Lonchura striata: one gene and its partner. The main gene of each other region encodes a partner of the protein of the gene in region 2 in a complex. Links are inferred from orthologs where the notes say so. Each region holds a gene or a part of one and is shown on either strand. Other genes may lie near its edges. The genes, in order: H2AX and PAXIP1.

Region 1 (7,502 bases), on a different chromosome or scaffold from region 2:
TTGTTAATGTGGTAATAATCCATTCTGTGTATTTTCTAAGTTGTATTTGACAGGAGCAGTCTACAGCTTGGATGGATCTGATAGCCTGAAGGAGACCATGCAGACCGGTGTTAGTTATCCCCATCAGGTACGGGAATTACGGTGCCTTCGAAATTCAAACCTGAAGCTAAATGACAAAAACCTGGCCTTTAGAAATGGATTATATTTGGTCTGTTTTCTTGTCAGCTGTAACAGCACACTGTTCTTGAGGTTCTTCAGACTAGGTTTTTCATGAGCATCTTAATTCCTTGCCTACTGTTTTCCTGCTGCCTTACTTTGAGGTGTTCGTATTTGCAGAATGAAGATGGACCAAATGATGATGTGCAGCATGTTGGCATCACAGCCAAGAATGTTCCTGGTCAGGCCCAGGAAGCTGCAGAGAACCTGGGTGTTGAACTAGCTAGTTTACTTCTGAGCAAGGGAGCAAAGCATATCCTTAGCGTGGCAAGGCAGCTCAATGATGCCCGCTGAACTTGGGGTGTGGCCAGCAGGAGTGCTACAATTCTAGCTACAAGTCTGTGCAGCTGCATCATGATCCTCTGGAGGGATTTATTTCAACATTCACACCAGTCTTGCCTGACATTTGGGTGCAAAAAACTTGAAATATGAAGCTAACTAACTTAAGTAGTTTCTGCTCTTCAGAGTTTTTATCCCTCTCCACATTTCTCTAAATTGTTAAGCGTCTTTATGAAGTATTGTCAACAACTTTTGTAGCTAGAGAACTGAAAGAAAAAAATTAAAAATAAAATAAAAGCCTTTAAGTGTTCAATTCCATTTAGGAGCAGAGTGCCTGTTGGGTTATAATCGGATACACAACTGCGCTGGTACTAAAATGCCGTACTGTGCTGAGTGTTTTCGGGAGTCATTATCTGGGCCTTTTCACTCACTGGATCACCAAAGGTTCCCATTAGATTCCTGATAGCATGTTCCTTATAGTAAAGGAGCAGAGATGCTACATTCACCCTTGGTCTTGGCAAAGGCTAATTACGTTCACCATTATACTAGCCAATTGGGTGGTATTAGATTGATACAATACATACATACACATATATATTAGACTAGCTAGATTGGCTTCCCTTGTATGTTTATCCACAAAGGTCACGAGAGCCAATTAGCTAGACTTGCCTATGAAGGGGGAGCTGAAGCAGAAGCCCAGATTCCAGACACTGGCTTCCTGCTCTTGCTACTGGGTCAGCATCCTCTGAGCAGGATTTTATTGTTACAGTGCCTTGAAGAAATACTGTAACAGCACCGGGGGTCCTGTTTTGTAAATAAAGTTTTATTTTCCAGACAACGTCCACTGCATGTCCCAGAGGTAGGTAGGAATGAAAATAACGGCTCCTTACTGAGCAGCTCTCAGGCTCAGTGTCTTGACTGACCCCGGGCCGGTTACTGCCCGCTCCCCCCGGCCCAGCTCCCCGCGGCCGGCCACGCCTCTCGCGCCCTGCCCTCCTCCCGCCTCCTCCGCGGATCGCAGCTCTCCCAGTGAGCAATGAGGTGGCCCTGAAAAGGGCCTTTGAATTGTGCCGGGAGGGCCGGCCGGCCTAGTACTCTTGCGACTGCTGCCGGCTGCCCTTCTTGCTGGTCTTCTTGGGCAGCAGCACAGCCTGGATGTTGGGCAGGACGCCGCCCTGCGCGATGGTAACGCCGCCTAACAGCTTGTTGAGCTCCTCGTCGTTGCGCACCGCCAGCTGCAGGTGACGGGGGATGATGCGCGTCTTCTTGTTGTCGCGAGCCGCGTTGCCCGCCAGCTCCAGGATCTCGGCGGTCAGGTACTCGAGCACGGCCGCCAGGTACACGGGCGCACCCGCCCCCACCCGCTCTGCGTAGTGCCCGCGCCGCAGCAGTCGGTGGACGCGCCCTACCGGGAACTGCAGCCCGGCCCGGGACGAGCGAGACTTGGCCTTAGCGCGGCCCTTGCCGCCGCTCTTGCCACGGCCGGACATGGCGCTCGCCGCGCTGCTGAACCGATGCGCCCGGGAGGCCGCGGCCGGGATTTTTATAACCTCCCGCCAAGTAGGGGCCAGCTCATTGGACAGCGCCGCCGCCCCTAGCTATTGGTGCGTTTGCCGGAAGAAGCTTTTTGCTGACTGGTCGCTTCTGTGATACCAACGCGCTTGCTCTGAATGTGTTGGCCGCGTGGTCCGGCCAATCAGCAAGCGAGGCGCCAAATTTAAACCACGCCGAGCGATCGCTGGGGCTCTGCCGCCGGCCCTCAGCGAGCATGCGCGCTGCCGCCGGTCCCTCCGCGCCTCTCGTGCCGCCCTCAGGGCGCACCGTGCTTTATGAGGGCTGGGGACAGTCCCTGCGCCTGGCTTCCACCCAGGGCAAGGTAGAGGGGCTCCCGGGATGCCTACAGACTGAAAGGTATCCCTGTCTGTTGGGCATTTACCTTAGGGTGGCACATGGGGGGAAGAACAGTTAGGGATATGAAAAAACCTACCATGAGATCCTTTTGTCAATGTGTGAGATACATCATGGGTTTATAATACAGGTATATTAAGAGAAGCACCAAAGGAGAGTGAGGAGTCAAAGTGGACTAGGAGAAAAAAACCCATGGGAACATTGAAGGAAAAATAAAAGTGAAGAAAGTGGTAATGTTTTAAAATGTTGCTGATCAGTAAGAATTATCTCTGCAGTCTGTGCTGTCTTAATTAACCCAACTTGTATGTTTTTTCCCCCAGAGTGAGCAGACTGTCTATGCTGTGTGCCTCTGGAGGTCCAGTTGCCAGCAACTAGGATTAGGACACAAATCAGAGCAGCCAGTGTCGTTCCAGAAAATGGGAAGACTTCAGCACATGCAGGAAGGGCCCAGGGCTAGGTGGAATGCAAGTGTGAGTCATCCCTAGCGAAGGAGCAAGACCTAGACAGCAAGTAGGATAATGGGCTTTGGAGCCCAGGACCAGATACGGGAGCAGCAGGATGCTTACTGGAGGTAAGCCAACTTTCTGAGGAAAATGGAGTGGCTGTCCTAGAAGTACCTATTGGAAGGCCACATTCCTAGGTCAGCTAGCAGAGAGATTTCTCTGTTCATATTCCTTGATACCAGGAAATCTAGCAGCTGGTTACTGGACAGACTGTTTAAGGCCAGGAACTGAATGATTTTGTTATGAACAAAACAGCCTGGCTGGGACACTTGGCTCGAACTAAGTACTGACATTGAAATGTTAATTACCCAATTGCTCCTGGGAATCACCTACACCCCCACCCAAACTAGGACTGGGATGCAGAAGAATCCAGTGGAATCATGGGAGGGGGTTTTGGGGATGAAAAACACCCCTAAATGTAAAAGAGGGGCACAGTGGAGGGGGCTGGATGGGTGTGCTGGTTGGGGAAAAGGGAAGCCCATCCCTAGTCTGTGTTTGACCTGTCACCATGACCTGCTGAGGACCAGATTGGACTGGGCTGTGGGAAGCAGGCACAAGGAATCAGACACTTTACCTGGTGTTACCAGGAGGGCAGGAGGGGGATAGCTGCTGCTGGACCTTAGCAGCAGGCTCTGCACATCCCCCCAGCCTTCGGAGGAAAGGAGAGAGGATGGTCTGCTGGGACTTCAGATACAGACTGGACACCTCTGCACCTCCGGCTACCAGCGTGCCACTCCAGGGACAGACTCTGCAGCCTTCTCACCCTTCGGCTACCGGAAGAAGCTACACCACCCCTGTGCCGAGCTGACTTTTTAATAGAGCTGAACACTAATAAAGGCATGGACCCTGTTCATTTCAATTTCATGATGTCTATGTGGATGTGGTGATGAATACACTGTACTAGTAGACTTACAAACTGATCTGCTGGAGGGAAGGAAGAGGCTTCAGCCACTTGTACCATTCATACTTGAGTGCTGTGTGTTTTCTGTGTTGATCAGTGCTGCTGGACACAGGCATTTTTGCCTTCTGGTAATGCATTCCAAGCCTTGTTACTAGCCGAACTTGGGTGTTGGGAGGTGCAAAGACTATAATCTGGTACCCCAATGGCTGTTCTATGTTTTTTCTGTAGCAATTCTGTGTTCAACTGGTGCTAAATACTGCTCTATAAGTAGCTATTTGTAATCGAGGAAAAGGGATTGGCAGTTAGCCAATCAGGGCCTTAGTTCTACATTAATAAAGGATCTATTGATTCCCTCTTAAGACAAGGATGTGGTGATCCTCACTCTGCTAGCATGTCCTCTTCCAGGGAGGAAGGCAGACTATAAAGGTATTCAGAATTAAAACCTCATCAGCAGGAACATTTCCAGTAGCCATAAAAAATAGGGAGTCCACTGCAGAAATGATCAACTGCCTAAGAGGGTAGAAAGCTACAGATGGATATAACCTAGTTTCACTGCCTGTCAATATTGTCGAGGCAAAGCACTGCAGGGGAAAGGGTACCATGAATTGTTTTATTCTTGGAGCACTCTGAGCTTTGAGTATGGGTTATAACATGTCATTCTATGTCCATGGACCAAAAACAGGATTGAGAAGCCAGGAACGGAGTCTGGTTTCCTTATTTTCCTCACAGAAATTAAAGTTGCTGTTTTCTCTCTTGGTGAACAGTAATGACTTTGCTAGATGTATAGAGATTCCATCTTTCCCACTTTCCCTAAGTGCTGTCATTTGCTTCCCCTCTAAAATGTATTCTTAATAACACCGATGTCCAAGTAGCAGTGAATCTTTTCTACCACAGAATTGGACAAAAGCCTTTGGTGCACAAAGAACATCCTGGTTCAAAACTAGCCCATGCAAAGCAGTTGCTTGCATTTTGACAGGTATTCTGAGGATCCCAGAAGGCAGGAGCAACATCAGTTGAATCATTTGGTCAAGCAACTGGAGGAGATGGCAGGTAGAACTCTTTCCCTTGCTCCCAACAGTCCAGTCAGACATCATAAAACAAGCGCACTAGTTGGTACCGGATTGAAAATGCAATCGTGCTGCCAAGGACCTAGGTAAAAATCAGACACATAACAGAAACATTATACTGTCAAATGGTTTACAGGCTGTCAGATTCCTCTTTTCCAAATGGATTTGCTAAACTTTCCAGTATGCCTTGTTTCATAAAAGAGCAACTAAAAGGCTACTTCTTTTAGGTATAGGAAGATAAATGGCAGGCCAACCAAAGACATTGTTTCTTTCTCTGATGATTTTAGATATCAGTGGGAGATTTCTCCATGTTCCTGCACACAATCACATTCTAAGAACACGTGGATGAGATAAAAGTTGGAGTAACTCCTTCTCCCTTAAGGAGCCTGTATTGTAACATAAACCCCGTGGTTTGTATTAGAAAATACCTTATGTCAAAGCTGAAATTCAGCATCCTTACTATAAGGTGCTGTCTGGACTTCTCTGCTGTGACTGGGTAAGTGCTATGTACTTCCTGTCTTCTCCCATCCCCGATGTCATCTGCCTGAGCCCTCAACAGGCTTTCATTGCAAGTTTTTCCTCTCAAATCAGAAACTGCCTGTCTCTTTCCTAGTAAGAATACCTTATCCTAAATCTGAAGATGAAAAGAAGGATTTTATTGTGGGCAGTTAATCAATGCAGGCCTTTCCAAAAAGTGATGTTTTTACTACACTATGCTCAAAAATTCACATGCTGAATAGAGGCAGTGGCAAGATCTGTGAAGCATATCCTTATGCTCCAAGTGGCTTCCAAATGCTCCCACATGCCCCTCAGACTGAGAAACTGCTGAGCCGTGTGCCATGCTTACAGAAGCCCACTTGCTGGTGACAACTCTGAGACTGTTACTTGGTATTACTGAAAAACAGGACATACCAAAAGGCTGTCTTGAGCAAGAGTGACAAGGCACTCTGCTGTGCTCATGTTTTCCTTGGAATCAATTACTCGTGCTTTGGGAATCTTCTTAAGCTAACCTCCTGACTTTTTTTTATAAGCTCTCAGTGAACAGAGAGCTGTGTGTGGATTTCTTTTCTCCTTGAGGTATGTAAGCCTCTCATTCTCCCCTCAAGCTCCACAGCTCAACTGCACCTTGTGTGAAGAGCACAGTATTTTACTTTCCCCTTAAAACTCTTGAGACTGACTTGGATCTGTTTCTACTGCAGAGTAGATCTTTCTACTGTAGGAACCCTTTGTCTGACCTGAATGAGTAGCAACAGGAGAGTGAGATTTCGCTCGTGGGTGGGTCCGATCAGCTTTATGACAAAATTAATAAGTGTCATATTACTGCATTCGGTGTATTCGCCATCTTCATCTGTTCCACTCCTCACATCCACTATGTGCAAGATCTTGACTACCTGAGGAAAGAAGTATTGCATGCTATTTCACCAGGTATTTTTGGTGATCACTGGCTAGTCTTGCTCAAGAGCCCTTTTGCTGCACCAGCCCTGAAATCTTGGTTGTGCTCTAACTGAAAAGACAGGACAGACATATGATGGTCCTGGGGCACTTCTATGTGTGGTTATTCTGAAAGACTGATTTTTAACAAAACTGAGTGACTATGAGAGATGGTAAGAGACTTTCTTCTAGATGTGAACCAGGCAGTAACTACTGAACCCAGAAGTTCTGCATTTTCTCCCGCCCTGTTTCTCTTGCAGTTGATGACTGCCTCAAAATGCATCTGTAATTTCCACAAATTACCTTCAGAATGTTTGTTCCCAGGACAGAGAGGTTCTTAGTTTTGAATTTGGAGTAGCTCATCTCCAACTTCCCTGTACTAGGATTAAGCCTAAAAGAAACATTTAAAATTTAGTCCAGATGCAACAAGGAGATGAGAGATCACTTTGTAAGCAGACTTAGACCCATAGCTGAGAAAGAAACCCAGTGGTGGAAAAAACAGGAATAACCTTAATGCACTTAAAAACAGCTGCTGGTATCTAGCCCCTCAAGTAGGGCAAAGAAGACTCCTTCCCATTGCACCTCCAATATATGTTTTGTAGTTTAAAGAATAAAACAGAAGAATCTAATATCTGCAGATAGAACTGCTGATGTGGCATAGTGCTACAGAATGCTTGCTACTATGAAATCTTAGCAGATCCCATTGCCGCAGCATTAAAAGCAGCCAGTGTCAATTTCTCTTGATCTTGTAGCTTAGAATCATCATGGTCTAACCTTGTTAAAAATGATCTGAGGGGTGGGCTGGTCAGAAATGTGCTGCTGTCTTTTAAAGAGAAAACATACTTTGATGGCTTTTAAAAAGAGCACCTTCCACCACCTTTCTCAGCTGGTGTTGGAGGTAAAAGACACAACCTGTAGTACCACTATAGGTCACTTGGTACATTACCTCGGTAACCGGTGACGGGGACACGGAATGATGTGGAAGAGTTGAGGCAATGAGTAGAGGAAATTGAGTACTTGCGGGATGAAAAAAAGCAGCATTGTTTTGCTGAAGTGTCCCAAGATCCCCACCACAGCAAAGGTCATGCCAGCAAAGTAGCAGAAGGTATCCCCAACAAACACTCGAGATGGGTACCTGCAATCCATGGAGCAGAAAATCAAAGGTCTGACATGACTGCTATTGCCACAAAAATGACC
Region 2 (9,086 bases):
GTTATTGGCAGTCTGAGGGAAAGACAGAAACAATTTATTTGTAAAGGTGAATGAACCTTTCACATTCCTAAGCAGGTAACAAAGGACTATATCCTCTCTTTTACCACTATGTCTCACTTCTGACAAAATTATCCTTACATTAAGTTGTGCTAATCAAAATATTTTCCCCTCTGCTCCTTTATGCTCAGTTATAGTAAAGGTAGAACTTGCTACTTGGCACTTGCAAAGAAAGTTGTAACTATTATATTAAAAAAGAAAACTGTCAAGCAAATGACAAGGGATTCTCAGTGCAGTTCTGGAATTAGAAGAGAATCAAAAATGAAACTACCAGTTCCAAGGGAGCCTTTTAGGATTCAGCGTTGCTGTACAGATAATAAGAAAGTTTTTAATTATAAATCATATTTGCCGTTGCAAGCAGTCCCACTGAAGGAAAGAGGAAAAATGCATAGACAGCTCAAGCCAAAATAGAGCCCTCTGTGTACCTGTTTTGCACATTTTGATTCTGATTAAAAAGCAGATTTTATTCACATTAAGAAATGGGAATGGAGATAATGCAGGCAGCATGCCTTTAGAGATTTTCAACAACTTTCCAGGCTCACTGAAACTAACATCAGCTTCTGTGAAACCCTGCTTACTTTGTGAAAATATATTTTGTTGGAAAAGTAACATCTAGAGACCCAGCTGCTACCAAACAAGTATGTATTATTAACAAAGGACTAAGAAAGCCTTCTGCTCACAGGAGTAAAACAAATATACAATTTAATCTAAGCTTCAAATTTAATTAATAAGATAAAAAAATCAAGCTGTTGTTTTTTTCACAAGCAATTACGCCTAAATATGATATTGTAGGTGCATATGAATTTTTCATATAATCATTTGTGCACACAAATAAGGCATTTATGTAAGCATGCACAAATCTTGTCAGCTTGGTGGGCTTTCACCTCGTGCAAGCAACACACAATACAAAATTGAGATCATAGTTCTTCTGGAAACATGCTCATGAAGTTCTCTGTACAGAGCTCTTGTAGTTTAGAGATCAGAGGAGTCTTTCTGGCACAGATAATGGATTGCTCACATCCTTGTGGACTCTGGTGATGACATACAACATGTACATGGCCCGTGTGACATCAGCTCAGAGCAACAGGGACAGCACCGATGGCCTTACCCTGCTCACCCTCTGTGGACAATTTTGAGGCCCTGTGTGGTACCTTGGCTTGGGTTCCTGTGGGAGATGGATTTGTAGAGAGTTCTTAGGGCCTGGCAGAAGGCTCACACAGCATCCATCTGTAAACCTTGAGATAAGAAATGTTGATTTAGAAATGCTATGCTAAAATGCCTCTCAGTTGTCCCATCAGGAAAAGAGTATTGTCCGACAGGTTCCCACCCACCTGTCTGCCCCTGTGCCCATCTGGCTTGTGGAGAAGGACCCTTGGTGGGCTGATGGTCCCTGGGATGGGCTGGAAGCAGCTGGCAGAGGAGCTGGGCTCTCCCTCCTTCCACTGTCACTCAGCTCGTGCAGATGAGCTTTATCTCATAACCTGACAAATCCATTTGAGGCTAAATACAGGCAAGCACTTTGCTCTGCACCTGGGCAGTGAGACCAGCCCAGTGATTTGACTTAGTTCTGTGTGCTGACCTGTGAGCAGAAGCCAGAATTTATTTCTGGCAAATTCAGGGGATATTTTTCTTCTTCAATAACATATTTTTTGTGTTCAAAAACATACTTTTTCCATCTTGTTTTCTGCTCTTATGGCCTGGAAACAAGATCATACACGTGATGCAAAACCAGAGCTATTAATTTTTGTTAGAAATAGTCTAATTACTAGAATTTAAATAATTTCTTGACAGGTGACTCATGAAATACATAAAGAAGTAAAAAAATATGTTCATTAATTTAATTCCACTGCTTACTTAGAAGGTACTTAAAGGGAAAAACTTGTGACTCATGAGAGTAGTCTTTTTGTCTGGGAGTGATCATTTTGAAGACAAATTTTGAATAAAGAAAGCTATATTTTTAGTAGCACTGATGATAATACAACAGCCTCTCTGTGCAATCCAGTACTGAGATCTACAGAATTTCTTACTGGGGCCATTAGAACTCTTTAAACTGCTAGCAGGCAGGTTTTCTGTAGGGTTGTTGCTGTGCATCGTTTCATGGCACAGAATGGAAACTCCCCTGCTTTGGCTGTGCTGCCTGGCATCTGCTCCTGAGTTGGGCAGGATTTTCCAAGTTCTGCTTTCACCAGCTCTGGGGCTCTGTCCAGGAGCTGCTCCCAGTGCTTATTCATTTTGGGGAGGGACTTTGCCTCAGCAAAGTTATTTTTACTCCAGTCAGGAAGAGGAGGACAGACCCAAAAGTCCATGTCCCATGTCCCAGGTAGGCAACAACAACTTTCTCTATGCTATACAGGATCAAATTCATAAAACAGTTTTCTTCTGGTAACCCTATTATAGTTAATTCTTAACCTTTCTTTTTTTTTCACATTTCATTACACTTCCATACTGTGGATGGAACCACACTTTATTCTTGGCTTTTTACCATAATATTATTAACCATTAAAAACAATTATTTACCCTTAAGGATAATTACACTTACCTTTATGAATGGGTACTCTTTATTTGTGAAAAATTGATTTTGCAATGAATTTCAATGATTTGACACATTAATCCGACCTTCTATTTCAGGAGAATTTCAAAATTGCTGTGATTTAAAATGGAAAATCCATCTCATATTCTTCTGATTTGACTAGCTGAGCAAATGAAGATCCAAGGTGGTCCCACCCAATGCTGCAATAGCTGCAACTGCAGCTGAAAGTTTGAAAAATGTGTGCAGGTTGTTTGCATTATGTTTACTGCCAGTATTAGCATAATTTCAAAACTCCTGTTTTGAAATACTTGTAATCTTAAGAGTTTTTCAAAAACCCGAAAATTATGTGACTCTGGAAAACCCAAAGGACAGGAGGGCTGGAGGAACTCATTAGAGTAACAAAGAAAATAGGCAGAGAAGGGAAATCAAGAGGACAAACCCTTGGAGGAGAAATCTTTGGTTTTCTTTGTGTGGAGCAGGAATATGTGATAGTGTAGGGACTTAGATATAAGGAAAGTATTCCTGTGGGAAAGGGAAATTTCTCAGTGATCACACTGAGAAAGATGAATCTAAGTAAAGAATGACATCAGGAAGAGGAAAGAACTCAGAGAAGAACGTGGAGTAGAAACCTGAGAGATAGCTATATCTGTCAAAGAAAATAAGTGAAAATTACCAGTGCTGGAAGATGCAGATTATTACAGAGACAATGAAATCCAACAGGAAAGGAAGCTCAGGAAGCAGTAGTGTTAATGAAATCTGATAGATTAAGGAGAATATGAAATATATATTGCTGCAGGATTTTGGTCAAAGTGGTTCAGTTTAATGTGAAGAAGTGAAAATGGATCAAAGACGGAGTTGGAAAGAGTGAAAATTATGGAACTAAGAAAGCAAAGGCTGGACATGGCTATAAAGGAAAGCAGAGCTCAGAGAAGTCTTTTCAAAGGCAGTCCAAGACATACATGGCACAGAAGAAAATTAATCTAAACAAGGATTATTAGACAAGATAGGAAGTAAGATGAGAAAATGAATTGTTGAAAGAAAGAGAAAATATGTTTAAAAGCAGATGGTTATTTCTACTTTTTTTTCCTGCCCCATAACAAAAAAGTGTACCATATAAAAAAAGTTAAGGAATTTTTGGTTTGATTTTCGCTTTAAAAAGTAAATTTGATTGGGAGGTAGGGAAAACAGTTAAAACTTTCAACCAAGTGTTCTTTCTGGAGTAGAAAAAGAACTGGTGATAGGTTGGGTATTTCTTTCATAATTGGAATAGAAAGGAGACGATGTCATGTGGAGATCCAGGGGATTTGGGTGAAGCCTATAACCAGTAAAATATTGTCCAGTAAAAGTAAATAAATGACTGGGAAACCAATTTATGTTTCTACCATGGTTTCAAGAATCACATAGGTAAGAAAAATAGTTTCCTCCTGGGGAAGTGGGACAGGCCTTGCAGGCAGGAGGGTAACAGTATTTTTATTTTTACAGGTGCCCTGTATTTTTATTTCACTAAGTCTTTCAATGCCATCTCTTAACATTGCTCTGAGTGTGGGAGGGAGTCATTGTCCACTTCAAAGTATTACGAGGATGTTCAAAACTCTTTTGGAAAGCTGAGTGCTTATTATATAGATAAAATGATATATTATCTAATATTTGTATTTTAAACATCCTTGTCAATGCAGCACTGTTTAAAATATATGACATGAAGCAGGCTCTGAAAGTGCTCGTTTCTTTCTGTTGACTCCAACCTATAGAAAGTAATAATAATTGTTTTCTGTTACCTAAAATAGGTAAGACACATCCCCCTCTAGGTGGGAACGCTTCACTATCAACGTAGATGGATGCTTTGCAGTTTCTGAGGGAAAATACTTTATTTCGGTGGGGCTCGATGACCTTAGAGGCCTTTTCGCACCGTAGCTCTGATTTCGGGAGCAGTCGGTAGGTTCACACATGAGCTGGCCGGTGGAACAGACCCACGCATTGGCGGGCGCTGGCTGCGAGGGGCCGCGCCGCCATCGCCCGCGTCCCCTCACGGCGGGGCCGAGGGCGGGGCCTGGGCGCCCCGGGGCGGGGCCAGGGGTGGTTGCCTTCCCTCCCCCGCCAATGGGCGGGGCCGGGTATCCCCGCTGCCCGCCTCTGTCGTTCGGGGCGAGTCCATTGCATCCCGCGCGGGGGGAGCTGCGGACCCGGATGCTGCCTGCCGGTCCGGTTCGGGGAAAGAGGGAGGAGCAGGGATAGCGCCTGTGGATCAGAGGCGGGCGCGGCCCTGCAGCAGCCGTGGTGGCTGATCGGGCGGGGGGAGCCGCTTTGCGGGGGCGGCTCTCCCCTCCCCCTTCCACCCCCCCTACGTCCCGGTGGGGGATGGTGTGTCCCGCAGCGCGCGCCTTGCTCGCGCGGTTCGGCGGCTCTGCGGGGGGAGGGGGACGGGAGAGACCCGGGCCCCGGCGGGTTTCGCACGGTGAGCGCGGGGAATAGCGGGCAGGGGGGAGCGCCCGCTGCTGCCGTCCGGGACCATGTTGGCGGACGACGAGGAGGAGCTGAAAGTCCCGGAGGAGATGTTCAAAGACGTCAAGTTCTTCGTGGTGGGAGACATCGACCCCAAGGTACCGGGTCATCCCTTCTTATCATTCCCGCCTTCCCTTTCGTCTCCCCCCCATCCCGACGTGGGGGGGGGCACAGTGGAACCGTCCGGCTACCGCGCGCGGGCTCGAGGCTCGCGCCGCCTCACGGGGAAAGGGCGGGAGCGGGGGGAGCGCGCGCCTGAGGGACCGGGCGGGATGGCTGAGGGGGGGAGGGGAGGCGGCCGGTCCAGATCCCGGCCCCGATCCCGGCCCCGATCCCGGCTGTGCCCGCGGGAAGCGCCGCTGCCGCCGCCATGGGAGCGGCGGCCCCGCCGCGCAGGCCCCGCCGGAGCCGCCTGAGCGGAGGAGGAGCGGGCGGAGGGACTTCCTGTGCTGAGCCGGGCCGGGCCGGGCGGGCAGCGGGGGCAGCGGCCGGCGCTCCTCCGATTCGGGCGCTCCGCAGGCCCGGCCCCTCCCTGTGCCCGGTTCCGTACGGGTACGCAGGGACGGGCCGTGGGGAAGGCTGGTCACGGCGGGCCGGGCTGGCTCTGCCCTCCCACACAGACCTTCCCGCCTTGGCGCGGCCCCGAGCCCGGACCCGCTACCGCCCCGGGGCCGCCGCTGCGGGGCTGCTGTGGGTTAGGCCGGGGGCCGCCCGCCCCTCTCGCCCTGGGCAATGCAGGTGGCCTGGCCGTGAGTAACACCCGTGGTGGGCGAAGGTGGTTGAAACAAAGTTTTGTGGCTTGTCCAATTAGATGCTTGAAATGCAACCTGCGGAGGTTTAGGACAGCGGCTTCCTGCAAGCAGGTTACTGCCTGCTTCACGCTGAAGTTAAAGTTCTTTGCCTCTCTGGTAGTTGCTGTAGTAAAGTCTTAGTTCAGTGTTGGTTTCCTTTATCATCCTGTCCTGACGCTCACTAGCTGTGTCCTGGAGGCACAGTCACTGGCCTGTTCAGATGGATTTCATTCCTATTGTGCTAAAATAAATACAGTCTAGGAAGAATGCAGTTGACAGGATGAAAACTTCTTTAGACAGGTTTCTAGATATAAAACTTAGTTCTTTAGGCATTAGGTCTTTAGAGATAAATTTTTTGATAGTGGGTTAGCACTCAACAGATTCCTGTACTTACCAAAAAACCCTACAGCAGCAGTTAGTATTATGTGTATGAGGGTGAGTGCAAAAATCCTGTAGCACTGTTGTACATAATTTGTCATTGGAGTAGTGTCTTGAAAAGCCTGTTTTAGTCATGTGTTGACATGGGAGGACAATTAGCAGATTTTCCATAGAGCAAATAGACAAGCATTCTCTTAAATTGGTTTTCTTTCTCATGCTAAATTTTATTGTTCTTTGCAGTCAGAGTCATTGTCATAGAGCTTTGATATGCTCCAAATTTGGTGCATTGAATGTTCCTCTGCCTGGCTTGGAGGCTGAGCCCGGTCAGAGTGAGGAGCTGGGCTGGGCTGAGCTCGGGGCCAGCTCCTGGGAGAACCCTCTGTACCGGCTTCAGCCCAGCTGGCAGCTAAGCACAGCACAGCTGCTCTCTCACCCCCACCCCTGAGCAGTGTAATGGGGAGGACATTCAAAAATTAAACTTACAGGTTGAGATATAAAAGCAGCTTAATAATTGAAAACCAGGTAATGGTAAATAATTGAATACAATGGTAATGGTAAATAATAATGCTAAGAAAAAGGGAAATAAAGGAAACCTTAAGCAAGTGAGGCACAATACAGTTGCTCACCGTGCACTGACTGATGCCAGACATCATTCCTGACCCCAGATCAGCCCTTCTTATGGGTAACTCCCCCAGTTTATATAGTGGGCATGACTTGCTTTGGTGTGGTTGGCCAGTTTGGGTCACCTGTCCAGGCTGTACTCCCTCCCAGCCTATTTTATAACTCCTTACTGGCAGAGGAAATCACAAAAAAAGTAGTCCTTAGGATAAACACAACTTAGGAAAAACCAAAACATCAGTGTGTTACCAACATTATTTCCATTCTGAATCCAAAACACAGAACCATGGCAGCTACAGAGAATAAATTAACTTTATCCTTGCTGAGACCAGGACACCCTCCTGTGGGTGTCCTCTGTGGTACCCTGGGACACCTGAGTACGAGGAGCGTTTATCAGGTGTGTTTTGAGCCAAGACAGAATACAGAAATTGTAAACCAAACTCAATCAGTTCTTAGAGTGAAATTTGTCCCATGACAAATAAAAAAGTTACAAATATCTTTGGCACTTTTTACTGCTTCACATACAGGTGGATGCCAGCTTGATTTTGCAGAGAATTTCCTCCTTCATCTTCTGGGAAGGAGCACACTTTGATCAACTTAAATTTCTAAATAGTTTCACAGAAAACCAGTTACTGTAATAAATATTAAAACACCTAGCACAAGTGAGCATGCTAATCAAAACAGATTCAAGAGTAAGAAGAAAAAAAGTAATTTTTTTTCAGGTGAATAACTGCATACCTACATTAAAGCATGTGCAGCATAAATTGGAAGGGAAGCAAAAGTCTGGAGTTGTGCCGAGGTGTTCTCTGGCACATGGAGGAGTTAGGTTGGCTCTCAGCTCCAAACCCATTCCACTCCATTGGGTGCATTTTGCTCCTCACACCTTACTGAGAGTGATGAGAAGATGTCAGCTCCTCTTTTTCTTTTAATAAATGCTCTTTCTGCTTTCCTCAAATATAAAATCCCAAACCATCATGTTTTGGAAACACCAGTTAAAATCAATATTTGCTTCAGAAAGAGATAAAAAGTAATGCAACACAGCACAAGGTCTTTGAACAGGATATTTGGTTTTGGTTATCTTGTTTAATTTATTTTTATATGCCCATTGCCTTACTTCTTAATTTTGAACTATTCCTCTTGTTTCTTCCAACCCAGATTTTAGTGGGAGAGAAAGATAAAATTTTTATTCCTCCCCTCACCAAAAAAAAAAAAAAATATTGGATATAAACTAATACTTAAAATGCAGGATTTTTACATATTTTACATATTTTTAAATTATGTGTTCATATTAAGGCTTTTCAGCATTATGTTTTCTAGTTACAGGTGTATGGTTGATATAAATGTAAATGAGTTCTTTAATTGTGCCAACACAACTTTTCAGTCCAGGCACTACTTAATCTGTAGAAGTTGTGTATTTTAAGTGGAGTTTTGAAGTTTACGGGACCTAAATTAGGATGAGTCTTTTTTCATGACACATAAAATAATCAAGTGCATTATTATGTATCACATTTATAGTGTTTAAGCTACATGAAACTAGTGTAACTTTTTGTATAAGCAGATGCTTTGCACAAGTTCTGTAATGGAACATTATTTTGATATTAAAAAATATCATACTTTTAGCACATTATTCATAGCTACTTTCTGATGCTGTCAGATTTGGGCTCTCAGTTTTCATGACGTTCACTCCTTTTTTTAGCCTTCCCCTGAATGAGCAGTCTAATGGGATTGTAACTCAGGGAGAGCTGTGTGAGACAAGGAGCTCATGTGCTGAGACTGTTCCTAAATACCTTTTGTTTTCAAAAGTGCTTTATTTGGATTTAGCTTCTCCTTTTGGAATGATAGCATCCTGTGGTTCTTTACGGTTAACTGGATTTCATGAAGGAAGGTATATCATGATTTAGGGGATTGATATGCAAAATGGAAATGTTCACTCCTGTTTCTGGCAGTGGTGAGAAGAACAGCAAGCTCATGATAATTTTCTTGGTTATTTTAGAGTAGTTATTTTGGTAAGATTCATATATTGCAGAAAAAAATTTAACTTTTGTTTTCTTAAATGGAGTTTTAAAGTCAGGTACTTCTGTCAGGAAGTGCCTCCTCAGTAAGTGGGGATTTTTCTATCCCTGTTTTCTGCTTGACAGAAATGCTTTATAAAATAGCTTGATGCTATGTTTTAGAGTCTCTTTTTCAGTATTTCTTTATCCTGGTGAGTGTAC

Evidence for each region.
Region 1: the proteins of PAXIP1 (region 2) and H2AX are in contact, whole or in part, in a crystal structure (PDB 3SQD), measured with the Homo sapiens proteins. The link is inferred for Lonchura striata from reciprocal best matches to the Homo sapiens genes PAXIP1 and H2AX. Residues at the interface, in NP_031375.3 of Homo sapiens: Phe871, Thr872, Gly873, Phe874, Pro876, Lys907, Thr909, Arg910, Thr911, Val912, Lys913, Pro986, Glu1050, Leu1053; in NP_002096.1 of Homo sapiens: Gln138, Ser140, Gln141, Glu142, Tyr143.

The regions. Positions count from the first base shown.
Region 1 is NC_134625.1:11,115,942-11,123,443, forward strand, and holds H2AX (histone H2AX), read right to left. Parts: upstream 2,004-7,502; 5' UTR 1,986-2,003; coding exon 1,584-1,985; 3' UTR 1,298-1,583; downstream 1-1,297. Other genes in the region: HMBS (porphobilinogen deaminase), read left to right, coding at 41-127, 337-510; DPAGT1 (UDP-N-acetylglucosamine--dolichyl-phosphate N-acetylglucosaminephosphotransferase), read right to left, coding at 4,891-4,956, 6,110-6,265, 6,609-6,696, 7,252-7,440. UniProt on the Homo sapiens protein: Variant histone H2A which replaces conventional H2A in a subset of nucleosomes. Nucleosomes wrap and compact DNA into chromatin, limiting DNA accessibility to the cellular machineries which require DNA as a template.
Region 2 is NC_134603.1:149,365,949-149,375,034, forward strand, and holds the start of PAXIP1 (PAX-interacting protein 1), read left to right. Parts: upstream 1-4,868; 5' UTR 4,869-5,094; coding exon 5,095-5,184; intron 5,185-9,086.